Linked DNA regions of Ovis aries. The protein of the gene in region 2 interacts with the protein of the main gene of each other region in a pairwise test. Links are inferred from orthologs where the notes say so. Each region holds a gene or a part of one and is shown on either strand. Other genes may lie near its edges.

Region 1 (3,819 bases), on a different chromosome or scaffold from region 2:
CCACGGAATGGTGATATTAAATAGAAAAAAAAAATGTGTCCCTTTTTAACACCTTTTAATCTTTCCCATCACCTCAGCTATGAAGCTTGCAAGTACAATTTCATGGACTAAGTCTTCCCAGCTCTCCCGTATCTACTCAGGCTCCTACTTATCAGTCTAAGCAAAGCAATCAAGTCTCAGACTAGAGATGCACTTCAGTGAGTCAGCACCAATCAGGGGCTACCTCTCAGGGAACAGAACTAGACCCAGCTAGGAAAGAAGCATCTCCCTTGGGCTCCCCAAGACACAGCCTCCCACCCCTCCCCCATAGCCTATGTCCTGAAACCCACAGTGACGACACATTCAACTCCCACTCTTTATTGGGACAAAGGAGGAAGGAGACAGACCAACACCACAGGCCCACCCACCAGGGGTGTCCAGACTTCAGCACCTAGTCCAGCATGAGTACATCATAAATACAGGCAACATGGGATGGGTGAGGTGGGGGAAGGTTCCATACACAGGAAGAAGACTACACAGGCCCTTCAAGTCTTGGGAACTGAGGCATATATAGAGGTGCAGTCCACTTACGAAGGAAGAAGATAGAGGGGGGCTAGATTTCCATTTTGCAGAATACAGATTGGAAAGAGGAAAGAGATGGCATGGAGGGAAATTCCTTTTTATATATTTTCAAAGAGCAGATTTCACCTTATAGATGGGTATGGGAGGGAAGGAAAAGTTTATTTTAGATATTAGCAGAAATGGCTATGAGAGGAAAGTGTCATTTTACAGACAGGGAAGGTACTTTGGGGACAGTCAGTATACATGGGTGAGTATTCACAGGCCATTCCATTCCCAGGTGACAGAAGGGAGAGAGAGGTGCAGGAAAGGAAAAGGTGCTAGGCCTAGAGAACAAGGGAGGTGTACCCCACGGGTACCAGCCCCTCCGCTCCATCCCTCCCACAGCGGAGCCAGTCCTCGTCCACAGTGGCGATGACACGCAGCACTTCCCCTCGCTGGAAGCTCAGCTGGTCAGGTCCTGCAGCAGTGTGGTCACAGAGAGCCCGGACTGCCCTGTGAGGAGCCAGAGGGAGACGCTGGAATGAAGTGAGGTGGGGGTGCCTGTCGCCAGCCTCACCTCCCCACCTCCACGGTATGTATGTCCCTGTTGGTTCAGCTCAGTAAACATCAGTTGGGCTCATGGGGACCAAGTCTTTTCAACGCTGATTTGTTTGGGGCCCCAGCCCTCTCCTAAGCTCCAGACCCACTGTTTAGCTCGTTATTTAATGTAATTTGCACTTCTCTGGTGCTTCATATTCAACATATGCAAACTAAATGACTCATCTTAACCCTCCAAACTAGTCCCTCCTCTTAGGTCCCCTATAGTCGTAAATGGCATCACCTATACAGTTATTCCTGGTAAAAAGGGATCTCAGTCTCTACATCCAATCAATCACCAAAACCTGTTTGATGTTGGTTTCTCCCACCACTCTCTTTATCTTCAGCTTCACTGCCATTATCTTAGTTTAGGCCTCTATACTCTCTGGACCACTGGCATATATCTAACTGGTCTGCCTGAATCCTGACCACCCTCTCCATTCTCCACACAGCAGTAGAGATCCTTCTAAAACTTATCATCCCTGGGCTTAAGACCCTTTAATTGCCTCCCACTGCCTTGGAGTGATACCCAGCTTCCTTCACTGGTCTGCTGACACCTCTGACCTCCCCATCACCACTGCCAGGATCCTCCACTCCAGCCATGTACTCATAGTTCCTCACTTACCGCACTTTGCCTTCTCCACCTTGGCATCCTATCCCTTCTGCAAGATTCATAGCCCACACCATCACTAGGCTTCTCTGAGTCCCCAGACCTCAGGAAGAAGCCCTGTCTGTATGGCTCAAAGGGCTATCTTCCTTCCCCAGAGTCTTTAGCACATATGGTAAGTGCTGATTTATTAACTGGTATCCCCACTGGAGTACAAGCTCCTTGAGGGCAGAGATTCCAACAGGTTTCCCTTTGCATTCCCTCCTCCAGTATAATGCTAAGTGCATAGTATGTGCTTGAAAAGTACTTGAATGGAAAATCAAGAAACCTGATTCAGGGGTGTCCCTGATGACTCAGTAGTAGAGTCCCCCTGCAATGCATACCTGATGCATTCCATCCCTGATCCAGGAAGATCCCTCATGCCACAGTGCAGCTAAGCCCACGCACCGCAGCTACTGAGCCTGTACTCTAGAGCCCAGGAGTCACAACTACTGAAGCTGTTGCACCCTAGAGCCCTGCTCCACAACAAGAGAAGCCAGAGCTTTGAGAAGCCTCCGCGCCACAACTAGAGAGGAACCCGAGCAGCGACGAAGACCCAGAACAGCCCCCCGAGGAAAGAAGCCAAATTCAGTGGATTGAGAACCTAAAAGAAGCCAGACCCTAAAGATGACACAGCCCCTGGTGCCAAATTAGAAGGCCCCACTAAAGGGAAGCCCAGTCCCCCAGGGGACACACACGCATTCATGGTACACTCATACAGTAATAAAACTGGCCAGTAACTGGGCATGTTCCATGTGCCTAATACTTTTATAAAATCACGTTTAGTCTTCATAACAACCATTACAAAAATATAAAGTATCCTCTTTTTACAGAAAAAGAAACTAAAGGTTCAGAGAAACTAGTATCACACTAATAATAAACAGCAAAGATGCAATGCGAACCAAGCACTGTCTGACTACATCACCTCCCACCCACACTGTGAAGTCAGAAAAACCCACACATGTAACATAACACGTGCACACCAGTGCTTCTCCCTGACCCTCCTTACCTGTGGGTCTGCGCCGTGCTAGGTTCTGAGACCTCAAGCTCCTTAGGAGATGAGGGAGCCTCAGGAGGTGCCGCCCGCTTCACCAGAGCCAACACACTCACTGTCGGGGGCAACCAGCTGGATGGTCTCCTGGAGGAAAGGATGAAGGGTCACAGAGGTCAGCCCACCTCCACAAAATAACCAAGGATCTGGGACTTTGGAGGGAGGGAGAGGCTGAGGGACCCAACTGTGGTTCAAGAGGTCAGGAATTGGTCACTGCTGAGGGCAGTGTGGCAAGGTCTACCACACCAAAAGCCACAAAGGGACCTACGGAACCAGCAGGCTTAGCTCCAGAGGGTCACTAAAGAGTACCTGAAGCCACTGAGCCACCAATGGTCAAACCCTGGAGCAGGAGTCCGCAAATATTTCCTTTTTTTCTAAAGAGCCAGAAAGTATTTTTGGCTTTGAGAGCCAAGAGGAAAAGTGGACAATATCATGCAGGTATTTAATAACTGTTAAAAGTTCATGACTTAAGAATATAACCATCATGGCTGTAGAAAAGCCAGGCTGTCAACCTCGGACCTAAAGGATCCCTACCGAGTTTCAAATTAAGAGTGACTGAGGGAGTTCCCTGGTGGTCCAAAGGTTAGGACTCTGCTTTCACTGCCAGGGCCTGCGCGCAGTCCCTGGTCAGGATCCTGCCAGCACCCAGTGCACCAAAAACAAATTGGGCTGACTGAGGGCTCTGAGAGGGAGTCAGAGGTCATGGAGGGGGCCAGGGACCCCATTACCTGGACTTCGGGGCTCCGCTCTCAGTTTCTGCAAGGCCCCCAGGCACTCCAAACAGTCTCCCCAGCCATACGCCTCTGCCTGGTGCTGCTTCCTCTGTGTGCAGGGACCTCTCCGGTGCGGCCTCAGCTGCAGTCTGGGTGCGCTTGGACCCCCACCGGGGAAGAGGCAAGCCCTCGGCACCACCAGACGCATAGACCCGGGAGGCCTGGGTCAGCTGCTCCCACCAGCTGCAGGGGCTGGGAGAGCTTGAGGGGGC
Region 2 (4,413 bases):
CTCCATTTCAGGATTTTCTAACATTTTATAGTAAGTTAATATTTGTTATGTCTATTTTGCCTTCAAACACTTGTCTGGTAGAAAACATGCAAAAATTGAATATATTGAAAGGTACTGAAACTTTAAATTACATAGTATGATATAAAGCTTAAAGTAAAAGAACTGAGGTTTGGGGTTTTTTTCAGTGACATGGCGAAGTCTTCCGAAGAAGATCATAGAGCTTAATTACACTGAAAGTTTTCATACATGTCAGAAAAACAAGACAACAGAATTTTTAAAATATTTTTATTAATAAACATGTGCTTGATAACTTCAAATTTAGAACACTTAGAACCAGCATGAACAAGGTAAACTTCTTCAATGATAAAGATTTGAAATGGGGGAATAGATACTGAGCTGGTTCATATTAACCTCCCTGTTCTATTCGTATCTTGTTCAGTGAAAACTTGATTTACACAACTCTAAGTGCAGTATTTCTAACAACTCCTTTTGCAGCCTCAGAACACGTCTCAAACTGATCTAGATGTTTAAAGATGAAAAATGAGAAATTTGCACTGTAAAGTTGAATAATATCTAATTCACATTTCTTTCCATTAATATAAATCAGAAACAATTTACAGTAAACACAAAAACTACTCACAATAGTAGTAATAACAACAGTTCACATTTTTACTCAACACTTCTTGTGTGAGCCAGGCCGTGCACTAAAAACTTCTGAACATGCAATTTCACATTCAGTTACCTCTGGGAAGTGTCACGAGTTCCCATGGTTTTCACAACTGATGATGATGACGCCATGACAGCTTGCAGCACTGACAATTTGCACTGTCCAAGTCTCTCCCTGGCATTGTGGCTGACATGACTCATACTGCAGCAGCTCTGGTGCTGGCTTGCAAGCTTTTACCAATGTTAACGTGAATATGCAGGCCTGACTTACCCCAGAAAAACCACGCTAAGTCTTTACCACTAGGTGACATACCTGCAGGACAGCACAGAGACACGAAAAGCAGCTGTGATCTAGGTCTGCACTAAAGTCAGTTTTCTCGGGACTCAGAAGTGCCCCTCCAGGCCTAACTGCAAGAGGGCGGCTTCAGCCGCCTCCTCCTCTTCCTTGGCCTCCTCCTCACGGATCTGCACAAGCAACTGGAAGAGGTTAGGGGCCGGCCCTTCCGCAGCCCCAGTCAGCCATAGCTGCCTTCGGATGGCCCCGCTGTGGTTGGCCCCGGCAATGACTTGTTCCAGGCGGGCTTGGTTCACGTTATCTTTATCTATGGCTCCCTTCTCCACCACTTTCTGCAGCAGAGGCTCCAGACGAATGACATAAGCAGATAATTTTTCTCCCGGGTTCTGGTAAGTGTTCAGAAATCTGACCTGCACATCCCTGGAGCTCTCCACGCTTCCAAACACCTGCTCAAGCGCCTTCAGGCATTCGGCGGTGGTAATATCTGGGTTGTTGGTCTTGAGGATGCGGATGACATCAGCAGCAGGGCCTCGAAGACTCTCCATCAACCGCCGCCTCTTTTCTATATCAGACACCTGCCACTCCTCAATGACCTCATTAGCGTGCTCCAGCCAGGGCTCAAATGTCTCCTCCCCAGGCCCCGGGATGTCCCTCCCCGAGAACAACGTCAGCTTCTTGTACCATATGGATTCTATAAGAGGCTTAATAACATTATCCAAAATATAGTTTAGCATCTCTGCTGGCATATCTGGGCCTGGGGCCGGAGCGGGGTTCTCAAACCCAAGGACACGGGCAACATCTTGCACAGTCCATCCCTCTCGGGCTAGGAAGAGATGCAACCTTTCTAGAAATTCAGCGTCGGAAGTCGGAGGCTTAAAGACTACTTTCCAGACCCCTCCTTTACCCGGCATCTCCCTAGGGATGGCAGCGTAATCCACAGTTCCAGTGAGCTCTAACAAGGCTGCTTTGGCATTCTCTTCCCTCCAGAACATTCTCCCAAGCACTCGATAGTGCACCTGGGGCATCGCAGCCTGGAGGGTCTCTTCGATTTCAGCCTCATCGCAGTTCACCGGGATCCCCCAGACCAGCAGGGCTCTCTGGGAATTCACATCCATCCCTCTGCACCAGTCTTCCAACAGTGTCATCGCCATTTTCCCCAACTATCAAGAGCCCCTGATAGTTGGGTTATCAGGGGGTTAGATAAGTTAAGACTGTGGCTCCCTGTGCTAAAGGACTTAGGACGACAGCGGACACTCCCCTGCAATTTGCCCAAGGGAGTCAAGCTTCAAGCAATCACAATTAACAAACGACACCAGAGTCCAGCTCTCGTCCTTTCACTGCCTCCACCAACGTCCGTCCTCCGCGTCCTCGGAGCGAAACTTGGGGGATGCTCAGTCACGCGCCCAACGCCATCTCGTGTCTCCGGTCGGCGTCCGCGGGCCGGGTCCCGCACTTGCAGGCAGGGTGTCGTGTCTCCGCGCAGAGGCCCGGAGGGAAGGCAGGAGGAGAAGGCAGGAGACGCCGCGCTCTGAAGAGGCCGCCGGGGTGTGATCCCGGGGCGTGGCCGCCAGTTCTCCGCAGCCCAGGAGCCGACCACTCGCTGCTGCCCCTCCTGGCATCAACCCGGCTTCCGCGGTCAGAGCTCGGCCTTCAGGCGCGCGAGGAGCCGCTCCTCTGCAGACTGCGAACTGTGCCGTCCCTGCAGGGGGAGACTGTCCAGAGGTCGCAGCGAGGCCAGCCCAAGAGCGGCTTCTTCGCTGGCGCAGGTACACCTCTCTGGGCGGCGAGGACAGTCGGATACCCTGAGCACCAGCAGCCGAGGCGCGGGAAGGAGGCGGGAGCGAGGCTAGAGGCGGCGCCGGCGAAGGCAGGCCGCAGCGGCTGCGCGTGGGCTGCGGCGAGCTGACCCCGAACGGCGTTGAGGGGCTGCCGGCCTGACCGACCCGCAGCCAGCCCAGGCGTTACTGCCGCAGCGAGGGGCGGGGCCGGCCGACGAGTGGCTTTCGCCCCGCCCCCGCAGCCGAATCCTGCGCGAGCGTAGCCAAGGCAACGGCGGCCTGGAAGACTCCAGACCCTGACGCTCCGGCTGCCTGCGGTTGCCATGGTGCCAGCTAAGGGCCCGCGGAGCGTCCTCTGATGGCGCATGTCCTTTTTCATTTTCCAGATTTTTTTTCCTTTTTAAACAAAGCACTGTGTTTAAAAGTTTAATATAATTCTGGAGTGCATTGAAGATGATATGAGTCTGTCAAGAAAGACTTAACTCACGTCGCTCCTTCAACCAGTCCAGTTCAGTCGCTCAATCATGTCCGACTGTTTGCGACCCCATGGACTGCAGCACGCCAGGTCTCCTGGTCCATCACTAACTCCCAAAGTTTGCTGTTTAAAAACAGATGCAGTACCAGCCGATCGATCGCACTGTGCACCCTCCGCGAACTTCATTCCAATAAGACTAAAACGCTGGAAGTGTGCAGTGTTCTCCTGTCAGACACTGAGTTGAGCCTTTTTCTTCTAAAATTTTGTAAGATCTAGATCTATTAAGTAACCTTTGTAGCCAGGCAAACGCTAGTGTGTTATTTCCCCTGTCCTGGCATCACTGACAAAGGGCTGATAAAACAGAATGCTTATGGCTCAAAAATTTCAAGTAATTCCTTGCAAGCAAACCAAGGCCAATTTACGTCAATCCTAGATGGTGAAAATCTCCCCTAAAGGACACAGCATTCAACTATGAATTTTTAAAACCTTATTTAATAAAAGGTTTAAAGATACAGAAGAACATTCAAAAGTAAATAAGTTACATAGGTACATTACAATCACATCAGCAAGATTTTCTTTAGTGTGTTAATTTTTTTTTTTATAAAAAGCACACAAAAAATAAAATCTTCCGTCTGGTCTATCACAACTGTACAGCAAAAGAGGTAATATTTATATATATGTACACTATTTTAATATGTAACAGTCTTTTTAAAAAAGGGTGCCACAGGCAGCAAACACACAGAAGGCAGTGTCTGATTTTTTTTTCAAAATAAAAGGAATATACTTATTTATATGCTATTAAAATATTTGTACAATAATTACAGACTGTCAAGGCTGTTCCTGTGCTCTGTCCCCTCCAACAAGGCCTTCGACTGAGAGACAAATGAGGAAAAGGTGAAACAGCTGCAAATTGTTAGAGGCAAATATTAACACAGCAAAAATATGGGGAGGACATACAATTGTTTTATAAAAATATGCATACTTCCTGTAAACCTAAGAAGTTAGGCTTGCCAGTCTGGTAATAAATACCATGCAAGAAAAGTGAGCCTCAATAAAAACATTTAAATAGCTGAGGCTTGAATATGTGTTGTATTCCTCCTTCATCTTAACATCTGGCACGTGAGAAGAGGTTAGGTCACTGAGGCAGTTAAATATATGGGATCCCTTTAGACATAAGCAGCACACGACCTCTGTGCCAG
Region 3 (4,404 bases), on a different chromosome or scaffold from region 2:
CCAATTAGAATAATTCAATCCAATTTTGAATGCCAGACACACATAGGCAGGTCAGGTATTTATAGAAGCAGAGGCTAAGAGAAGCTTAATTCTGTGTGTGAGTGTGGTGCTCAGTCATGCCCAACTCTTTTCTACCGCAAGGACTATAGCCCACCAGGCTCCTCTGTCCATGGGATTTTCCAAGCAAGATTACTGGAGTGGGTTGCCATTTCCTTCTCCAGGGGATCTTCCCAACCAGGGATCAAAATTGTGTCTTCTGCATTGGCGGACAGATTCTTTACCACTGTGATGCTTGGAAAGTGCTTAATTCTGAGGGAAAAACAAGACTGGTCGGGTCACCACAACAGCCTCTCTTTACCTGGAACAGTGTGAACCACATTCCACTGCCATGAGGCCTGTGCAGCCGCGGAGCTGCTCCTTGTGCTCCCGCACTTCCTGGTGTGACCTTAATATAAACCTGCATCTTTTCTGCCAACAAGGGCAGCTCTCCCTTGTTTCCTGGAAGATCCTCCTATTCTGTTTTAATAGCTGATATCTTCATCCTACGTCTCGCGCCTTGTAGACAGATGCTTTACTGTCTGAGTCACCAGGGAAGTCCTAAATCTCTATGTAAGGAAACGATATTAGAAAAGAGACACAGTTTTTCCATCTGCCAGAATGCCTTTGAATTCTTGCAGTTCATGACTCTTAGGGAACATCCTGGAACTGTCATAAAAATCAGTAAACATCTCATTCCAACATCTTGCTATTCTCCTCCCTGACAGCCCCTCAGCCAGTTCATTCAGTGAAGACAGCATTAAAAAAATCTTAGGTTTCTCCACTTCTGGCCCCTTCAGACCTTTCTCACTCAGAAAAAGAGAAAGCCGATTGTAGCTTCGAAAGCGTGCGGGAAAACAATGCCACAAGCAGGTACTGTCTACAGCGGAAACGGTGGCTTTAAAAGTAGTGAGCTTTTCCTTATTGCTGCTGCTGCTGCTGAGTCGCTTCAGTCGTGTCCGACTCTGTGCGACCCCATAGACGGCAGCCCACCAGGTTCCCCCGTCCCTGAGATTCTCCAGGCAAGAATACTGGAGTGGGTTGCCATTTCCTTCTCCAACGCATGAAAGTGAAAAGTGAAAGTGAAGTCGCTCAGTTACCTCTGACTCTCAGCAACCCCATGGACTGCAGCCTACCAGGCTCCTCCGTCCACGGATTTTCCAGGCAAGAGTACTGGCGTGGGGTGCCATTGCTTTCTCCGGAGCTTTTCCCTATGAAGGGAAAGCGAAAATCAAGATGCTGCATGGCTGCCTAGAAGCGGCCACCGAGAGGATAGCTGCCTGAAGTGTATCCCAATTCAGAGATTAAGAGGTGGTGACTGGGGAGCGGCTCTCGGATAGAGGGGAACTGAGAGAACTCGTCGTTTTTTGGTTAACTGCCAGGAACCAAACTTGGACTTTTGCCCAGTTCGGAACCAAATGGGGCGGGCACTTCCCCATCCGGGCATCTAGCGAGATCCTCAGTCAGTCTTCCGACAGGCACTGGAAACGTCACAGGTTGCGCCCCAGTTTGTCTTGCAACGTCATCCCTCAGCGCCGGAAGTGAAGGAGTAACGTGAGCTTGTTGGCCTCAGCCATCTGGAGGTAAGGCGGTTGTCGGCCTACCTCGTCTCCTGCCGTATTGAGAGCCGTGAGTGTGGGCATCGAGTCCACCTCTACCCCAGAGTAATGTTCCCTGAATAACGCTCTCACGGCTCTTTCCCGGCAGGCAAGCAGGCGTTGCTCCATCCTCGGGCTCTAAGGCCCAGGGCTGCCCATTTCCCTCCTGCCGTGTTTCAGCGGCTGGCGGCGCTCGTGTTGGTCTCCACTGCACTTCGCGTTGGTTCACCTATGCGCCTGACACCTGAACCTAGCTTAGTCAGAGCACAAGCAGAAAAAAGATTAGAGAGTGGGCACTGTCTGACCCAAGGAGGCTTCGCAGCCTGTCAGGAGCGACTTTGTTTTCTCCAGAAACGCTCCTTGAGAAGAATTTGAGGGCCCTTCACAGCATCCACAGCTGGCCTTGTAGGAAGACCAGAAGAATCAAGCCTTTTCTCATGCAGACCAATGATAGCGGTTCAACAAATCAAGGCTATAATTTCCATGTGGAATTAATGTGGTCCAGGTTTGGAGCCTTTTGAGAATTTGATATATATCGGGAGCCATTAGAACACAGAGGACAGGACTACTCTGTTCAGGGAGACAGAACATTTGTGCCCTGTCACCTTCGCTGCAAGCAGTGTTGTCGGATGATCTTTTAACATTTCCTTATAGCGCCTATTCTTCACTATTAACGAGAGTGGTAATGATGTTGAATGCTGTTTTTTTGCCAGGTGCCGAACTTTTTACATCTTAATTTAGCCCTTGTGACAACAGTGTGGTGTAGAGCCATAATTAATATTGTTTTCCAGCTGAAGAAGTCTTAGTTTAAATAACTGGCCTCAAATTATGCAGTGAGTAGTGGTGGAGGGAAGATTTGAACGTGAGCAGTTGGATTTCAGAGGTCTGGATGTTGTCCACTAATTTATATTGATTGTCTTTAGCTGATTCTCAACTGCCCAGACACCTTACTTTGTTGTTATCTGCTATTTTAGGGAGAAAATTGAGTTCATCCGATGTGCTTTCCCTCAAATTTCTACCCTTGCTTTCTTTTCATACACTCGTCAAAGTTGATACCACCTATCTATACCTTTCCTTCAATATCAGAGGATGATCTGTCTCTTGATCAAAACAAATTTCTTTATCTTTGCTTCTGACCTTTCTTTTATGTTTTCACCTATGAAACCGGGGCTTTCATTTGTCTTTTCTTCCCTTGTCTGTGTCCCAGTCATGTATAAACAAGGTCAGGTTATTCAGATCCCTGCTCCTTATCCCCCAAGCCAGAAAGAAAAAGTTCCTGGTGATCCATCTTTCTTTAGCTCACATACAGTAACTCTCTTCTCCTTATCCAGACTTTTTGAAGAGTATTGTGAATTCTGTATCCAATTCCTCACCTCTCATTCCTTTCTGCGATCTAGCTTTCAGATCTGTTATTCCCCTAAAATTTTATACAGTAGTCACTAGTGACTTATTATCAAACCAAATATACGTTCTTTAATCATTACGCTTCCCTAGTGGCTCAGACACTAAAGAATGTGCCTGCAGTGCAGGAAACCAGGGTTCGATCACTGGGTTGGGAAGATCCCTTGGAGAAGGGAATGGCAACCCATTTCAGTATTCTTGCTTGGAGAATTCCATGGACAGGGGAGGCTGGTGGGTCACAATAGGGTCACAAAGAGTCGAACATGACTGAGCGACTGACACTTCCGATCATTACTGGATCCTTTTGCTGCAAACGTGGTGATACTTTTTACTCTTTACTCCTTTGCTTTTCACGACAGTACACTAAGCTGATTTATTCAACAAACATTTATTGTGATATACAGATGAACATGTCAAAGTGCCTCCTTCCCTTGAAGAGCTTACATTTTAGCTTTTTTTCCCCCCGAGTGTTTCCCTCACCAGTAATTTCTCCTGTGGATAGTCCTCCCTCCTTGTCTAAAATGTTGGGTGTTTCCAAGGCTTGTGACTTTGGCCCACTATTCTTTTTATGCTGTACACAATTCTTGAATGAGCACGTCAACTAGCATGGCTTTAACTCCTTCCTGTATGCTCCCAAATTAAAGTGTCAGCTTAGACCTCTGCTGAGTTTCATTCTTACCTCTGGCTACCCTGCTGGATACCTCTGCTTGCTAGTCCCACAGACTGTTCAAATATTGTCTTCTCTGTACTTAATCTTAGCACATCCATCACTGTCTTGTTGATTTTACCCTCTAAGTAGTTCTTAAATCTGTGTTCTTTTTTTGTCTGTATTAATGTCCTACTTTGAACCTTCTTTCACCTGAAATATGATGGCCTTCTAACTGGTTTCCCTGTCTCTAGATCAATTCCCTGCATAACTATTCTTTAACTACCTACCATCCTGCCCCAAGTGATCCTTGAAAACAAATCTGAGTCAAAGTCCTGCTTAATAATATTTAAAGATCTGTCATTTCATTCACCCTATCTTTTCTTTCATTAAGCAAATATTTATTGTTTACTAAATTGCAAAATCCATTAGAGCTTCTAAAGTTTGAGCTTCTCAGCCCATCACCCAGGGCTTTGCTTCATCTGGACCTGCCTGCATCTCCAGCCTCTTATTGACCTCATACTTTAGGTTGCAGCAACCCTGAACTGCTTCTTCATGCGTGTACACTGTCCTGTTCCTTTTGACTGGAATCTTCTCTTTGATTCCTTCCTCCACTTCCTGCTCCTCAGCTAATTAGGCTGCCCACTTTCACCTAACTAACCAGTTCATATATAAGTCTCAATTTAGGCCCATCTCTTATAGGAAACCTTCCTTGACACCTTT
Region 4 (4,296 bases), on a different chromosome or scaffold from region 2:
TGAAGAGAATAAATGATTGGAGGCTAAGTATTAACTCATCGTGTTAACTATTCAGAAAGGATCCATAAATGCTTCTTTTGTAATTCAGGCTTGGGATTTTTAAAAATTATAGCATAAGAGAGCAAGTCTCTTAATTTTTAATGTGAAAAAACTTTTTCTTTTAAAGTTAGGATCAGAATTAGTTCTTCCGTACAAAATCTGTTCTTTTTTCAAGTGTGAAATAAGATACTACTTTTAATCTGAAAATCTACAGAACAAACGTATAGTTGTGTAAAATTAAAATTTTCCTTGTTCTGAATATCTTGGTGGAAACTTGAATGGTTAAATCTACAAAATGTTCTACATTTGTAAATTTTGCAGACTGGAGTTAAAATGGAAGCTTCTTGCATTTAGTTCCTCAAGTTCACATCTTTATATTATAAACTATAAACTGTGCTCTCACCTGCCTTCATTTAAGAACAATCCACAATCAGTCAATTACAACGTAAAGTCATATTTTTATTACTGTTTTCAACAAGACTGCTTAGGGTGAGGGAAGAGGTGTGGGAGAAGGAGGGGCATATTTGACATTGGCACTGAGATACAGTTAACATCAGCAAAACTTTGTTTTTAAAAGAAGAATTTTACATATAATTAAATACTTTTTTTTTTTCACTTGGTGACAACATTCAGGCAACCCAAAACAAAGTGGGGAGGATGGGAGAGGGAGAAAGAGAAGAGGGGGAGAGAAGGAAAAGGGAGAAACGACTATATTTTGATTTGAAAATGTACCTTGGGTTTCATTTTGTGGTGGCAAAGCCCGATTGCTTCTTTTGTGTGACCTTTTAAATTCACATTGTTTGGAAGAAAACGATCACTTTTGTGCAAGAATGTGATTTTGGTTGGGTGGTGGGTTTGCTCTCCTTTTTGTTTGCTTGTGAATTAAGGAAGTCTTCTGCCGGGTTCCGTTCCTCTTAGGTGGCTGACAGGAAAAGTTTGTGTCTGGAGTTCTCGCAGCTTGTCGCCGAGTTGTGTGTCTGTCGTGTGTTCGAGAGCATTCCCATCCGTGTCGCTTTTCAAGCAGTCCCCAGCGCGCTATAGTTTGTCCAGGCTTTTGGGATTGGTGAGAATCTCCCTGGCCAACCTCCAGGTCTGCTTGGCAGCGCTCTCCAGGGCCGAGTGGGGCTTGCCCTGGAAAAGGTCGAGGTTGGGCAGAAAGTAGTGGGGGCAGCGGCGGCACTGCAGGCAGGAGATGAGCTGCAGCAGGATGCCGTTGAGCCGGTCCCCGAGGCACGCCTCGTCCCAGTCCGTTTCCCGCGGATGCTTCTCGCACTCGTACAGCAGCAGCGTCTTCATGTGGTAGTTATTGAGCGGCTGGCCGGGCAGCTCCAGGTGGCGGTCCCGCAGCGTCTTCAGCACCGAGAGACACTTGTTTCGGCAGCCGCCCATCAGCAGACGGTTTTCAGCCTCCCCAAACTGGAGCACCCAGGCGTCGCTCTCGGCGGAGCTCTGCTTGCCGGTCAGCGAGTAGCACTCCTTAGAGAGCAAGTTGAACCCTTCGGCCTTGACCTCCGCCACCCGATTGGGGCCAGGCCAGGGGATGTGGGGCATCGGCCACTGTGCCGCGCTGCGGGGCCAGATACCGGTGCACTTGAACGCGGGAGTGATTTGCACCACGTAGCGCTCCCTGATGCGCAGCTTGACCTCGCTGGTATCCGCGATCATCTTGACCACATCCCGGTAGCTGCACTTGTCCACCGCCTGAGCCACCAGCGTCTGGAAACGGGAGCGGATCTTGCGTGCCGAGAGGTAGCCGGACGCCGTGATGAACTCGACCCAGAGAGACATGCTCCGCTTCCGCCCATCGCTCAGTTTGAGCACCGCGCAGCCGGGCAGCGAGCCGTCGTCCACGAAGTTGAAGACGCCCATCTGGTTTAGGTAGAGCACCACCTCGAATTCCGTGGGCGAGATGACCTCCAGACCCTCGTAGCGGGCATCGATCTCGCTCAGGGAGCTGATGAAGCGAGGCTCCTGCACCTCCACCTCCTTGAGCACGTCCGAGACCACCTTACAGACCTCTCGGATGGTCTTGGCGATGGCCGCCTTGCGCGCCTGGCAGCGCTCGGTGTAGTATTTATTGAGCTGGTAAACCAGCTTGGCCTGAGCGGCGATCATGTTGGGGCACAAGTCCGGGCTGTACACCGGCGTCTCGCAATACGTTGAGGGATCCAAGGCTCACGCGCTGGTGGTGGCCCTGCGGCTTGCGAAAGAGGCACTGCGCTCCCCTTGAGCCCCACGTTCACTCTTGTTTCCACCTGGGCTGACCAGCTGATGCTTCAGCCGTCTAGCGCTTTCTTTCCCCTCTTTTGAAAGCTTTTTTTCTTCTCCAGAAAATAAGAAGAAAAAAAAAAATCTTTGAAAAAGAAAAGTACCTGCTGGGACTTTTTTTCCCTTTCTCTTGATAAGTGAAATGAAGATGTGCCTGCGGGCAAGATGAAGGGAAAGAAGGGGGGTGGGGAAAGACAGGGTGAGACGGAAAAATTCAGGTTACCAAGAGGTTAGGCTTAGACGTCTGCAGCGGAGATGGTCCAGAAATCTGGAAATGAGGTCTGTTAAGTGCCGAAGTAAATTTAAAAATAAAAGGAAAACATTCAGTGTTTCATTCTTAAACTTCTCTCCCACGCTGGTAGTACTTCTTTATTCAGCTTAGGTGAGTGCTTTTCTCCTCACCGTCCCCCAAATGGAAGGTGAAGGGTGTAATTAATGTCCAGAGAGCAGCGAAGTGCAACTCAGTCCGCAGCACGCGCAGAGGTTCTCAGACGCCTTGCACTCCCAGCGTGTAGGTCTGCTCTCCGCTCAGGGGGTCCTCTGGTAGCGGTTTTCCTCTTTTCCTACTGGAGGCGTTGTTTGGACTGGGTTGGCTTGTTTGCAGTGGGTTCTTCTTGTCTTTCTCTAGGTGCAAACCTCTGGAAGTTCTTTGATTTTCATTTCTGCTTCGTAATTTATAAATTTGGCTCTCACAGAATCTGTTTTAGTGTGACGAAGTCCTTGCTTGCGTTGCATCTGGGGTTTAGTTATAACGACTTCAGGATTTTTCTTCTCCTCCCCCTTTAGGTTGCTTGTGCAGATTCCACTTTCTGAGTCGTCTCTCCCTCCTCCCCTCCGATCTCTCTCTCTCTCTCTCCCCTAATCTCTCTCCTTCTCCCTCCCTCCCTCCCTCTCCCCCTCCCTCCTTTTCCCTCCCTGTCTTTTTCCCTCTCTCCCTCTTTCTCTCTCCCCCCCCCCACCCAGCCCCCCACCCAATCTCTCTCTCTCCCCTTGCTGTTTCCTGGAGTTATTTAGTTTATGAATGGTCCTGTACCATCATGAGGGGGGTGGAGCTTCAGTTCCTACAATCGCTATCCGAGCTGTCAGTGCTGTAGCCAATCCCAGAGAGAAGACAGGCATGCTTGGCAAACAGTAGCAGCCACCGCTGCCCTTGATAAAGAAAGGGAGGAAAGAGAGAAGTAAGAAAATAGGAGGAGATAGTGGAAGTCAAACGCTTACACACATCTTACAGCCCCCTCTTCTTTATCGTCCGCTCTTATCATTTGCCAGGAAGAAAGAGTATATAGAGAAGGGACTTCTTGGAGATGGCTGGAATGATTCAAGGGAGAGTGGCAGTGGTTCAGAAAGGTTCACTTTTTTTTTTTTTTTTCTTTCCTATCAGCATTGTGAAGAAGGTGCAAACTCTAACAAAATTACTTTCGCTTCAAGGCAAACGGAAGGAGGAAGGGAAATCTGGGAAAGGACCTAAATTTTTCTAGATTTTCTCCTCAGGCAGTCTTCCTTTTCTTCCCCTCCCCTCTCATTGTTGCCAAGAACCCTAGCAATTGCTGTATGTGTGCGCCAGTTGGGCAGTTGTTGGGGAGGGGGGGGGTTGGACATGGGGTGAAGGTTTATAATCGTAAATCTCTTTTCAGTAATTTCCATATGCTGTTGAAAAACAAGGCAGGACACAAATAGTGCAAGTACCTTGTTTTATAATTACTTCATAATTAAGATTAAGATATATTTAATATTAATTGTTTCAAGAACTAACTTATTAGAAAATATGTTTAAGTTGTGAGAAATGGTGCAGATTTATATATGGTAGAATTTCTTTGGATATACTTTTAAAATAAACCACTAAAATTTTAAACTTAATAAAAACGAAGGGAAGTAAATGTGAACCTGAGTTAAAGTTTTCTTAAAATGTTTATGTTACAAATCTAATTTTGAGTATATTTTTCAGGCAGTACAGAATTTCTCTTATAAAATCATTTTATTTTCATAATT
Region 5 (3,819 bases), about 59 Mb from region 2:
AAAATGGTGGGGCTTTCCAGACATTTGTCCCGTAACTCCGCACTTACCGACCTCTGTAGGTCCCAGTCACTCCATCCAGTTTGCCAAGGGTGAATACCATGTCCATGTTTCAGGTGCCATTTGTTGCGGTCTTTTACAGACCAGGACCTGGGCACTGGAGTCGACGAAAAGAAAGAGAGAAAGAGAGGGAAAGGGCAATATCCCTTGGGCTACGTGGAAAACCAATAAAGCCCATACATAGGACTTGTACCACTCACGAAGGCACAGCGTGTCCTCTCAAGGAGGTCTTTAAAGCTCGGGTGAGAAAGTGAGTTCATTAGGTTTCCATGCTCTGAAGAAGTAGCTGGAGACAGAAAGAAGGATGCGGGGGACCCAAGTCTCTAGTGGAGCAAGAGTATTTTATTAGCATGCGTATAAGAAATGCATGCTTATATATCTTCAGTAAAATGATTACTCAGCCGTTAAAAAGAATGAAATTCCACCAGTTGCAACAAAATTGATAGTCTAACAAGTACAAGGTCACTGAAGGGAGTCACTGAAGGGAATCCAAGCAGGTGCTCTTTCCCATGATCTGAGACAGAGAAGTCCTGAGACAGAGAAGGCGATGGCACCCCACTCCAGTACTCTTGCCTGGAAAATCCCATGGATGGTGTAGCCTTGTAGGCTGCGGTCCACGGGGTCGTGAAGAGTCAGACATGACTGAGCAGCTTCACTTTCACTTTCATGCACTGGAGAAGGAAATGGCAATCCACTCCTGTGTTCTTGCCTGGAGAATCCCAGGGATGGCGGAGCCTGGTGGGCTGCTGTCTATGGGGTCACACAGAGTTGGACATGACTGAAGTGACTCAGCAGCAGCAGTCCTGAGAACTGCATGCAGCTCTACTTATTCCTGTATCCCAGGAACTGATAAGGAACAGAGTCCTTGACAAATGGCACACAAAGGAAGAAAATGCAACATATCGGATCCCTTAAAGTTGAATGTCTCCTGACACGAGAGGATGGCCGAGTAAGCTCAAAGAATATGGTCTGCTATAATGGAGAATATTTGAACTAGTTTGTTTTTTTTTTTTGCCGTAACAGTAATAGCACTCCCATCCTGGACACCAGGTAGCTTCAGCTTCAGCCGTCAAGACAGAAGAAAACACTTGTCCCACATCCGTTGTCAACTCTCAGGCGCATCTTGAGCAGGAGATGGAGAAAGTTCTGATGGTGTGATCACAGGTAAAAGGTCTCCCCAGGAACTGACCCGGGCACAGCGATACAAATCCCTACAGAAAAGAGAGGGTCAACGTGGGCTGCAGGCTCTCGCTGCCTCCCACTAACTCTGGTCACACCCTCCACACCTGCCATGTCTGCGGGCCGTGATCACAGCGTGCTGCATATGCCCATCTGGACAGCACAGGTGGCAATGCACGTGGCGTGGCCGTTTAAGAACAGGCTGAGTGATTCGGGGCCAGCGATTGGCCTCCTCTGGAGATCCTCGGGCAAGGATTACCAAGGAGAACTTTTCTTCTTTTGGCTTCTTGTTCTAAGACAAGGAGACAGAGATGGCTTGCGGGAAAAGACGAGGGAAAACAAATTTCTTCAAACCTCATTCCTGTGACTCTTCTCATATTCTATAAGTCATATATATTCAGACCCTAAAACCTCCAAGCATTCTCTGGAATTTCCCAAATCCTCCCATCTCTGAATCTTTTCTACTGTGCTTTCCCAGGCTATTTTCTCCCTACCACAGTATTCTCAGAGTACATACCCAGCTGAAGGGGATGGGATGGTAGGCCTGGGAAAAGCTACAGGCCAGGGGCTTAGAGGCTGTCAACTGGGGACATGGAAGTTCATGCGGACACTGTGAACACAAAGACATGAGGTAAGACAAGAGAACCACAGATCATAAAACCTAGAAACTACGACTAATAGAGTCAAGAAGGGCTAGGGATAAAGGAGCACAGAGCAGATGAAAGGGCAAGCCAGGGGAATCACTGAGGAATTAAGAGTAGAGGATGGTGGCTAGCCCTCTTTTCCTGGCTAGCCCTGAGTTCAGATCTTTGCTTGCAGGGAAAGGCAGAAGTAATACTCACTGGGGCAAAGACAAAACCAGGTCGAGGGTCCAAAGGTGACTTTTCTTTTCTCTGAAATCAAGGGAAATGAAAAAAATTTTAGGCTGGGCTGAGGGGTCTGTTCTAACTCAATCTCTGCACTCAATAAATTAAGGATTCCTCTAACATTCAATTCTGGTAATTATTAACTATGTTCTGAATTAAGCTGGCTGTTTCTCTAATACTCCAAACAAACAACTTTCTCTTTGCAGCAAGAGAAAGGCAGAAACTTGGCACATAGTATGGTACGCTCCCTTGTCAGTAACCTTCACTCTCAAAAAAATATCCCATTTCAAGACAGTGAAATTTGCGATTATACACTGGTTCATACGGTCCTAAACAGATAAGGTTCTTAGTTCAGAAGTGCCCTGGATCAGGGGCTGGCAAAAACAAAATTTTTTTTAAAGGTCCAGAGACTAGGCAAAAATCTGTTTCCTACTGCTATCTGTATGATGAAAATAGCCACAGGCAACAGACCTATAGCCACAGACACATGGTTATAGATGCACAAATAAGCACTGCTCATATAAAAACAGGTGGTATGTTTATATAAGCACTGCTCATATAAAAACAGGTATGGATCTGATCCATAGGCTGGAGTTTGCCAACTACTACCCTATATCATGACTTCATGTGCTTACTATCTCCAGAGTCATCCTTATTACTATATGCCAGTCCCTTCAGTTTGCAAGGGAGTGCCAAGAACTGGTGAGAATAAGTGGGGAAAGGAGGGTAAGGTGAAAGAAGGAAAAAGAACCTTACATTAAGGACCAGGTCCCTGGCGTCCATGAGAAGGGAGTGCCCAGCTTTTGTTCCATTCTCTACCAATACCTGATTACAAAAGGGAAAGTAAGAAGCCTTGAATTACATGAAAACATGAATGTCAGTAGCTCTGTAAGAGCATTCCCAAATAGAATAGGGATTCTAAACGAAATGGGTATTACATATATGATGCAGATGGAGACCTGAAAAGAGGGACAAGGGATCTATGTAGGATGAAAATGGTTAAAAACGAAGACAAGCTCCAATGGGGACAGGAAAGGCATGAAACAGACCCATGAAGCTGCTTAAAAACTTGAAGGGAAAAAAGGGCTTCCACTTACCAGAAAACGACCTGTCTTGCGCCATAAGGTTTGGACCACGTCAGTGCGGTCGGCCTTGCTGGGCAGTTCACTGAGAGAAAAGGCTGCTACCACCACATCGAATTGCACCTGGTGCACGAGACGAGGAAAACGACCGACCTTGACATCTCCGTCTTTTAAAGAGTACAACAAAGGTCTATCCCACTAAATTTCTTCTGCTTTCTTTTACTTTCTAACATTCAATGCTAGGTTGTAAAGCCAGGACCACAGTTTTCCATCTGCATACTCCACATTTGGCATACTTTAAACACTGCCACTTGCCTTGGGTGATACAGGTAGAAACTGTCTGAAAAAGACACCTGGAACACAAGGCATCCCAGATCCTGAACCACCTGTGGAGGAAAGTAGAGATGTGGCAAATATGACTGTAGGTATAAACTGAAGGGACAAAATGCTAGCTGAGGATGAGATGCAACAGAGTAGACAACTGAAAAAAAGGGCAGGGGGAATATTGGGTCATTTGTCCTGTTATTCTTACCCTACCCATCCATAGTCCAACAGAGGCCTCCAGCATCTTCAACAGGGTCATCGCATCAGACCCATCTTTAACTTTCCGGCCTCTCCTCTACTCCCCAGTAAAA
Region 6 (4,285 bases), on a different chromosome or scaffold from region 2:
TTTATTCGGATTTTAAGTTGAACTTATTTATACTTGCTCCCTTCTTAAAGAAAAAACAACAAAACCAAACTATAAGTGATTTACCGAAGAGACCATACACACACATGATGTATTTGTGTATATCTGCTCCATAGGCTTTTGGTAAAAATTCAGTAGTTATTGAACATCCACTGTGTTCAAGTCATCTTGAAGTTTATAAACCTGAATGAAACATGATTCTTGATGCCTGAGTTTTGGTGTGTTACCTCATTTAGAAGCAGTTGATTTTTAACAAGAGGGTAACAACTCCAGTTTTATATCAGAAGCACCTGGAGGGCTTGTTAAAAATATACCTGTCCCGGCCCTAGCTCTTAGCTTAGGGAAATTCTGATAATAGTCAGGGCCCATCCTGCAGTGCAGTTTTAACAACCTCCCTATGTGAATCTGATACAGGAACCAGGATTAAGAAACACTATTTTAAGCTAAGAAAGGACTAATCACAGGACTGCAGCCACAAGTCAACCAGGTGGGTACCCTTGAAATCTACAAAGGGTAATGTGGCTACACGTTTTCTAAGGCTGTCTCTAATTCCACTGTCTCTGAATGGACAGAATAGTTGTAAGAGCACTCAGGAAGGGCAGGGTTGGGCCCAGTCTTCTCTGTAAAACACCTGGAACAAGAGTGCTATAGAGGAATAAAACAGCTACAGCCAAAGACCATCTCCAGAGCCTTTTCAAATGCTCTGTTCTTATTTCTCATGCAAAGCATAGTTGTGTAAATTTTCTCCTTCATTTGACTGGAAAGTCTTTCTCTAGTTAAGGAACACAGTAACCCATTTGTAATAGCTTTTTGACAGATATTTGTTTTGAATCCTCCTCATCCAAATCCTGGGGTCTGACCAGGACGTATAAAGGTATATATCCATCTGAAAGTTTGTAAATATCCATAAAAGTACATTTGTTTATAAAACATTTCAACTGCACAAAAGAATATGTGAATGTGTAACATACACAGGGAAGAAAGAACAATATAACAAACACCCATGGACCCACATCCCAGTTTATGACGGAGAAAGTTGCCAATACCCATGAGGTCTCCTGTTGAACAGCTCCTGAAATTTAAATCAAAATGCGTGCATTCAATCATTGACTGGTTAATTCATTCACTTGCCAAATGTGCCCGATTGCCTACTAATCAATGTAGGCGATTAGTATCTCTTCCGTTGGAGTGGCGTGGGGGTGGGGGTCAAAAGTGACACTTCCCGAAGGTGCTCAGATTGCCTTTCCTGCAAGCGGCCCTAACTCAGCCGGGCCCTCCAGAGAGGGCGTGGTTTCTGCGTGCAGACACTTTGGGCAGAAACTACTGGTCCCGGCAGTCCGCGGGGCGAGTGGGCGGAGCCGGGCCGGGGGCGGGGGCCGGGCGAGAGGGGCATTGTGTCGGGAGCGCGGAGCTGCATTTGTCTGCTCTAGGTGCTGGTCGAGCCACCGTTGTGATCGCCGGCGTAGAGCTGGAAGTGTCAGCGGCGATCACTGTCCCGGCGGGAGACCAAGTCCGAGCAACCACGCTCCCGTTGGCCGCTATCGCTGGCAGGGGGCGGCGTGCCAGCGGAGCAACATGCAGATAGGCGCCCAGCGCCCTGACGACCCCTCCCGAGGAAAGGAGGCCGGGGCGGCGCTGGGGCGGCGGGGAGCATGAGGCAGGCCGGGGGCGGCTCGGCTCCGAGCGCTGCTAGGGAGCGGCGCGCGCTGCACACTCGCCGGGGGCGCAGCGGAGGGCGGGGAGCCGGGCTGGTTGCGCCAGCGGGCGGGAGCCGGCCGCCGGGAGCTGTTCTGATTTCCGACGCGGACGCAGGGGGCCCGGAGTAGCCCCCTGCCCCGGCGTGCAGCCAACATGGGCAACGCCGGGAGCATGGATTCACAGCAGACCGATTTCAGGGCGCACAACGTGCCTTTGAAGCTGCCGATGCCCGAGCCAGGTGAACTGGAGGAGCGATTTGCCATCGTGCTGGTGAGTGCGCGGCGGCGGCCGGGAGCCGGGCCCCGGGGCCCCAGACCAGGCGGTGCAGCTGACCCCCGCCCTCTCCCCTTCTCCGCGCGCCGGGAGCGAATCCCCGGTCCCAAGGGGGAGGCGCCTGCTTCGCTTATTGTGGCCTCCCTTGGCCTCCTCTCGGTCCTCCTCCGATCTCCCCGCGCCAAGCCTTCTTGGGGTCCCGGAATGGGGCACGGGTCTGGGGGTTGGCTGACTGGCCGGCCCCGAACCCATTGTCTGGCGGGAGAGGCACCTCGCAGCGCGTGTGTCGGGGAGGTGCGGCGTGGGCGTGAAGGGAAGGTGGCGCGGGCTTGGAGGAGGGGGCGGCTGGCCGCTAAGGCTTTTTGTTTAAGAAAAAAACTCCCCTCAAAGCCCGAGTCCTCGAGAACCATCCAGCGGGCGCCCAGCCGGGGCCCTGCGGGGTACGGGGCTGATGGGCGCATGTGGCGGGTTGAGGGCGGCGCGGTGCGCGAAGGCGAACTTGGAGGCGGACGTCTGGCTTGGCAGAGGGGAGCTCCCCCAAAAGGGAAAGAGAAGGAAACCCGCGGCAGTGCGGCGTCCCCGTCCCTAAGCGAGGAGGGGGACATCTGAAACCGGCGCGAGAGAAGCTTCGCCTCGGCGCGTTCCTTTTCGTCTTAAAACAAACCACAAAAATGTGCAGTTTTGCGGGGACGTGTTGCAAGCTGTCCTGACTCTAGGGATCCCTCCCCTCCCCTTACCAAATCTCCGACTCCCTCTCTCGGAATCCCCTTCTCCTAGCTTTCCAGCTTTGTAAATCTGAGACACTTGAAGACTCTCTTCTGCCTTTCCTTGCTGGGTGTAAGTTTCTGGGCCCCTCCCAGCCTGAGCCTGTCAGTGCTGTGAGCTCAGGAGGGTGTGGCGGTCTCCCCCTCGCCCCAGCCGGCGTCTGGACCGCAGTTAGTCCCCAGACTTCGACTTTTAGTGTCTCAGCCTCTCTTAAGGGCTGTTGGGAGGGAAACATAAGATTCGACGCGTTTCTAATACTTGCGCTCGTACAGTTGCCTTTTCCTAGCTAATTACCTGTACATCCTACAATAGTAGGCAGCAAGAGAAACTTGTGCTTAAGGCAATCGAATTTCGCGTCTGCATACGGGGTTTGGGCATGTAACCTCCCAACTTTGGGGATTGACCAGAGTCTGAAGAACACTGGGACGTTTAAAAAGCCTTTCTTCAGGCTCTTGAAAAGGACTGGTTTAATATGGGGACTGTTCTGGATGGCAGATTAGCTTTGTGCTCTTTGGAAGAAGAACCCACGAGCTTTTTCACACCACCTGGAAACTCCGGCGTGGCAGTCTGGAGATAGATGAGGCTGCCTGTCTTGCACTCCGTGGTCTGAGATCTCACACAGCTGCTCCCATTGTTGTGCAGAATGAAACACTCTGAAATGGAACTGCATGGGCTTAATTACTTTTGAAGGCAGCCTGGGTGCAAACTTGACCTGTCTTTCCAGGGACAAACCTTTTTGGTTCAAAATCCTCTTCCTACCAGACTACATGGTTCTTACCTCCTAGCCTTGGGTGTTCTGTCTTTCTGTCCATGCTGTGCTGGGTGGGTGTGCGTGTGCGGGTTGTGTGTTCTGGGGGTGGGTGTGTGTGTGTACACTGTAAGTGGGAGGGCCAGTGACGCAGGCAAACCAGATAATAACAATAATGCAATTAAGTTCTCAACTGGGATAGCATGTTTTGCATGAGCTTTGAGTTACCCTGCTGATTAATGACACATGGTATGAATTACCCTTTAGGAAAATAATGTCCCAGCATTAATATGGTGGATCTGTTACTTTAAATCTAGAAAGCACAAATTTAGTATATAGAAATTCATGTTTCTACATCACAAGTTCTTTGGAGCAGTGGTTACTGTGTAGCTTCTTTTACTCTGTCATACACAAGCACTGGATGCAGTTCCTTTCCTTAACTTTATAATATTTTACGCCTTTCAAAACAAATGAACAACAAAACCAAAAAATACCAGGCTGACCTTTTTCAGGTTAAGACAAAGCTTTTGGGAAAGTATCAGCTTGGGGGCCCTCTTGTTAGGGATGCCCTTGGACCATTGATGTGGTATGCAACTCTCCCTAGTCAGCTCCAACTGCCCTTCAGAATTCTGTATGGGGAGTTAAAAGGAATCCTTTTTATGGGCTGATAGAAGTACGGAGTTCTGGTGACTTCTCTTGTAGTCAATTTTTTTCTAAAGGTGTCCATGTGATGCTCTCAACTGTGCTTTTTCTTCATGAATTACTTAACAAATCAGCTAAAAC
Region 7 (3,456 bases), on a different chromosome or scaffold from region 2:
AATTACAACCATTTATCACCTCCAGCCTGTGGACAAGAGAGCGCTGAGGGCTCACAGATAACTTATGGTTGCAATAGTCTCCGTTTCCGCTCCTGCTCATCTCGCAGTTTGGTTAAAGCAAGTTCAGGGAAATTGGGACGCAAGATTGCTCCAGTCCCAAGGTGGGGAGCCATGGATCATGTGGGGGTAACAGAGGTCCATCACAGCACACCTAAATCCAACTGGCTTCACCCGGTGAGAGGGAACAGAGAAAGGGGAGATTGAGGGGAAGTGGGGGATAAACAGGAAACAAAATATATACAGGCTTCTCTTCTCCTTACCCCTGAACTCAGAAAAGTTGCTAAATAAAGCAGAGTTCATTAAAAATAGCAGCCACCCTCTGCTAGATTCCTTCATCTCAAATGAAAAGCACTGAATTTTTTTTAAGTAATAATAATCTGGTTCATCCTACACTAAGTACCCTGTCTTACCAATTTGCAGTGCTATTTCCTTAATGTGATTGCCTGGGATGTGACCCGAAGTCACATTAAATATGAAAGAGGAAAAAAAAAACTGTTAATAATTGATCCTAGCCAAACTGCTGCCTTGCAATAATGGACTTTCCAGGCAGAGTTTGGGGGCCTGGGGTGGGGGGTCTGCTTGGGTGTGAGTAGGGAGGCTTTGGGAAGAGCCGTGTTACCCAAATGTCAGCTCTTGTGATCCCACCTGGCAGGTTGGAAGGGGTGACCTGAGGGAGTAGGGCAGCTCTCTTCTCTCCAGCAGGCAATAAACCCCCAAAGGACCCTTGGGCCACTCTGTTGGTGGGAAATCCGGTAGGGCAAGCAGAGACTTTAAAAATCTGACCCTCATTCTTTTGAAAAAGAGTAAGGGGTGAGGACTTGTCCCCACCAGCCTGCAGGTTATTGTTTGGGGCCTAAGAGCTCCGACCAACTTGCCCTTCTTAGCCTTAAAAAACGAAAAATCCGAGACACTTTCTGATCTCCTTAAGGAGCAGCATCTCCTGGAAATTAGTCCGACTGGGGTTCCTGGAGGGGGTGCATTTGGAGGGGTGGGAGACGGTGAGAAACTACCTTCCGAGGATAAAGTTCTCCGCCTCTCCGCAAGCCTCTCTTGCCCCCACCCTTCCTCTCCCCAGGGTCCTTTCGGGATCTTTCTCCACGCCGCGGGTCGGCCCTGAAGTTCGGAAGCGATTCCTCGACTCCCCGCGAGGCGGACAGCTCCGGCTGGGGCTAGGGAGCCCTGCGGAGAACAGCGGGAACCGCAGGAAAGGAAGCGGCGACCCGGGCGAGGATGCCAAAGGAGGGGAGGGGGCGACCGGAGGGAAGGCTCCTGGGGAGGGGCCGGCGCATCCCGGGAGGGGGCTCAGTCTCCGGGTCCTGGGCTTCCCCCGCCCCTCCCGCCTCCGGCTGCGGACCCTGAGCGGCTACTGAGCGAGATCTGCTAGGAACAATCCTCCGCCAAGCTGTTGCATCGCAAATAAAATCCTAATGAGCCCCCTCCCACTTCCCCTTGGCCGGCTTTTACGGTGTGCGCGTGGCGCGGGGAGCCCTGCCAGCCGTGCAGGGCCCGGCTTCCCGGCGCGCTCCCGCCCTGGCCCGCGCGGGCTCTCGGCCTCGCCGGCTGCCTCCCCGGCCCCGCCAGCTTCTCTCCCAGCCGGCGGCTGTCGGCCTCTTCCCGGGCTTTCGGCCCGGGCCTCCGGGGGCGTGGGGGAAGGGAGACCGAGAGAGCCGCGAGCTGGTCCCTGAGCCCCGGGTTCCCGCTGGACTTGACGGAGTGGGGCGGCGCGCCTCCGGCGGCCTCAGTCTCCCTTTCTGGGGCACCCAGCTGCCTCCCTTCCTTCCTCCGTCTTCCCTCCGCCCTCGCCTGCTCTCTGGCCACCGCCGCGGTTTCCCTTCACATTGTCCGCAGTTTATTGCCTCTCCCCTCCCCTCCCCCTCGCCTGGCCTTCGGCCTGGGTATTTCCTCACTTTTTATAACTTACTTTGATCCGGCCTCTCTTTGTCCTCGCTTCCTTCGCAAATTTTATTGTCCCCGTAGCCGGGTCTTTGATTAGACAGGACAGCCTCCCTGCCCGCCGAAGTTTCCAAACTGTACTCGGGCGTGCCCTGCTTGAGCAGCTCCCCAGGCGCGCCCAGCAGCGGCTCCGCCTTCACAGCCGCCTGGCCCTGCCCCGGAGCAGCTTCGCCGCGCGGCGCCGGCTCCAGCCAGGTGCGGAGGTACCTGCTCTCGGCCGGCGGGACGCCCTGGGGCTGGATGTAGGGGTGGTAGACGGACGGCAGGCTTCCGGACGTGTGCGGGCTCAGCGGCGCCCACGATGCGCCGAACACCGGCGCTTTGGGCTGGAAGCTGCACGAGGGGAACTCCAGGTGCTCCGCGTGGCCCGGCTGCCGGGGGCTCGCGTACTGGCCGGAAGGAAACTTGGCTGGAGGCGCGTCCTCACTCTCGTGACTTATGATCGAGTCGACATAATAGCTGCTAAGCGTCCCAGAAATGGACATTCTCAGACATTATCCGGGCGCTCGCAGGGGGAAGGGAAACGCTCGCGCGCGGCGCTCAAGCAGGGAGAGGTGGCACCCGGACCGGTGTGAGGGCTTTCGGACGCGACCCCCCCAGCCCCCCACCCTCCCACCCCCACCCCCTGCTCAACTTCTCAGCCAACAAAGTACAGTGGAGCAGCCCGGCTCAGCGCTCCTTGCAAAATGATTGGTCAAAGTTTTTCCGACTGCCTGATAAAGCGTCAGCTCCGACATAAATCAATCGGGCGAGGGGGCTGCGCTCTCGCTGTCATACGTCCGCACCGCATTCCATATCGAGGATGGATTGTTTTATGCTGATGCAATGTGCTATCACGTCAGGGCTCCGGCGGCCACGTAACCTCAGCCCAAGCTGCCGGCCGCCCGCCCCCCAGCCCCCTCCCGCTTTTGCAGGAAGGGGGGCAGTTCTCGACGTGGGGCGGCGGGGGCGGAGGAGAGGCGGAGGGAAAGCAGCGGGCTGCCTCGGGAGGGACGCTGGCTGTGGAGCCCTCTCCCTAGGCGGGTCCGAGAGGGAGCGCAGGACACAGGGAGGGAGCGAGCTGCAGCCAGGGGAGCGACCCGAGAGGCCCGGGGCATAATTAAAGAAAGAGGAGGTGGTCCCGGCCCCTTCACTAACACACCTCCACTCCACCCCGCCGGCCCTAGTTTCCTCTTCTCAGTCCCTTGACGCAATATGTTTATTAAACAATAGCGCGGCAGCAAGCCACTGGAGATGAAGGAAAGGGGATGGGGGAGAGTTGGGGTTTTATAGGAGGGGACTCTGTAACTAGTTTGGGAGGTTTGTAGGCCTGGGACTTTCTCCTGACCCCTCAGTAGCTGAGGGAGGAGAGAAGGGAATGAAAGTGCCTGAGTGTCCAAAGATCCTGCCCTAAAATCTAGCTGTCTTGAAATTAGAGCCCATATGAGGATAAAGGGATTCATC

Evidence for each region.
Region 1: the proteins of PNMA1 (region 2) and RUSC1 interact in binary tests that used the Homo sapiens proteins (3 or more experiments, as listed by UniProt). The two-hybrid records come from large-scale screens. The link is inferred for Ovis aries from reciprocal best matches to the Homo sapiens genes PNMA1 and RUSC1.
Region 3: the proteins of PNMA1 (region 2) and APTX interact in binary tests that used the Homo sapiens proteins (3 or more experiments, as listed by UniProt). The two-hybrid records come from large-scale screens. The link is inferred for Ovis aries from reciprocal best matches to the Homo sapiens genes PNMA1 and APTX.
Region 4: the proteins of PNMA1 (region 2) and MAB21L2 interact in binary tests that used the Homo sapiens proteins (3 or more experiments, as listed by UniProt). The two-hybrid records come from large-scale screens. The link is inferred for Ovis aries from reciprocal best matches to the Homo sapiens genes PNMA1 and MAB21L2.
Region 5: the proteins of PNMA1 (region 2) and METTL17 interact in binary tests that used the Homo sapiens proteins (3 or more experiments, as listed by UniProt). The link is inferred for Ovis aries from reciprocal best matches to the Homo sapiens genes PNMA1 and METTL17.
Region 6: the proteins of PNMA1 (region 2) and FMNL2 interact in a two-hybrid assay, tested with the Homo sapiens proteins (2 studies listed by BioGRID). The two-hybrid records come from large-scale screens. The link is inferred for Ovis aries from reciprocal best matches to the Homo sapiens genes PNMA1 and FMNL2.
Region 7: the proteins of PNMA1 (region 2) and HOXB9 interact in binary tests that used the Homo sapiens proteins (3 or more experiments, as listed by UniProt). The two-hybrid records come from large-scale screens. The link is inferred for Ovis aries from reciprocal best matches to the Homo sapiens genes PNMA1 and HOXB9.

Annotation. Positions count from the first base shown.
Region 1 is NC_056054.1:105,500,903-105,504,721, reverse strand, and holds the end of RUSC1 (AP-4 complex accessory subunit RUSC1), read right to left. Parts: coding exon 3,563-3,819; intron 2,922-3,562; coding exon 2,793-2,921; intron 1,054-2,792; coding exon 885-1,053; 3' UTR 342-884; downstream 1-341. UniProt on the Homo sapiens protein: Associates with the adapter-like complex 4 (AP-4) and may therefore play a role in vesicular trafficking of proteins at the trans-Golgi network. Signaling adapter which plays a role in neuronal differentiation.
Region 2 is NC_056060.1:83,213,285-83,217,697, forward strand, and holds PNMA1 (paraneoplastic antigen Ma1), read right to left. Parts: upstream 2,928-4,413; 5' UTR 2,113-2,927; coding exon 1,051-2,112; 3' UTR 269-1,050; downstream 1-268.
Region 3 is NC_056055.1:38,141,950-38,146,353, forward strand, and holds the start of APTX (aprataxin), read left to right. Parts: upstream 1-1,560; 5' UTR 1,561-2,071; coding exon 2,072-2,139; intron 2,140-4,404. UniProt on the Homo sapiens protein: DNA-binding protein involved in single-strand DNA break repair, double-strand DNA break repair and base excision repair.
Region 4 is NC_056070.1:7,409,425-7,413,720, forward strand, and holds MAB21L2 (protein mab-21-like 2), read right to left. Parts: upstream 3,045-4,296; 5' UTR 2,155-3,044; coding exon 1,075-2,154; 3' UTR 478-1,074; downstream 1-477. UniProt on the Homo sapiens protein: Required for several aspects of embryonic development including normal development of the eye.
Region 5 is NC_056060.1:24,448,543-24,452,361, forward strand, and holds part of METTL17 (methyltransferase-like protein 17, mitochondrial), read right to left. Parts: intron 3,571-3,819; coding exon 3,500-3,570; intron 3,308-3,499; coding exon 3,200-3,307; intron 2,928-3,199; coding exon 2,859-2,927; intron 2,130-2,858; coding exon 2,079-2,129; intron 1,847-2,078; coding exon 1,754-1,846; intron 1,529-1,753; coding exon 1,344-1,528; intron 1,269-1,343; coding exon 1,163-1,268; 3' UTR 1-1,162. UniProt on the Homo sapiens protein: Mitochondrial ribosome (mitoribosome) assembly factor. Binds at the interface of the head and body domains of the mitochondrial small ribosomal subunit (mt-SSU), occluding the mRNA channel and preventing compaction of the head domain towards the body.
Region 6 is NC_056055.1:157,294,084-157,298,368, reverse strand, and holds the start of FMNL2 (formin-like protein 2), read left to right. Parts: upstream 1-1,400; 5' UTR 1,401-1,869; coding exon 1,870-1,986; intron 1,987-4,285. UniProt on the Homo sapiens protein: Plays a role in the regulation of cell morphology and cytoskeletal organization. Required in the cortical actin filament dynamics.
Region 7 is NC_056064.1:37,598,464-37,601,919, reverse strand, and holds part of HOXB9 (homeobox protein Hox-B9), read right to left. Parts: 5' UTR 2,499-3,456; coding exon 1,982-2,498; intron 1-1,981. UniProt on the Homo sapiens protein: Sequence-specific transcription factor which is part of a developmental regulatory system that provides cells with specific positional identities on the anterior-posterior axis.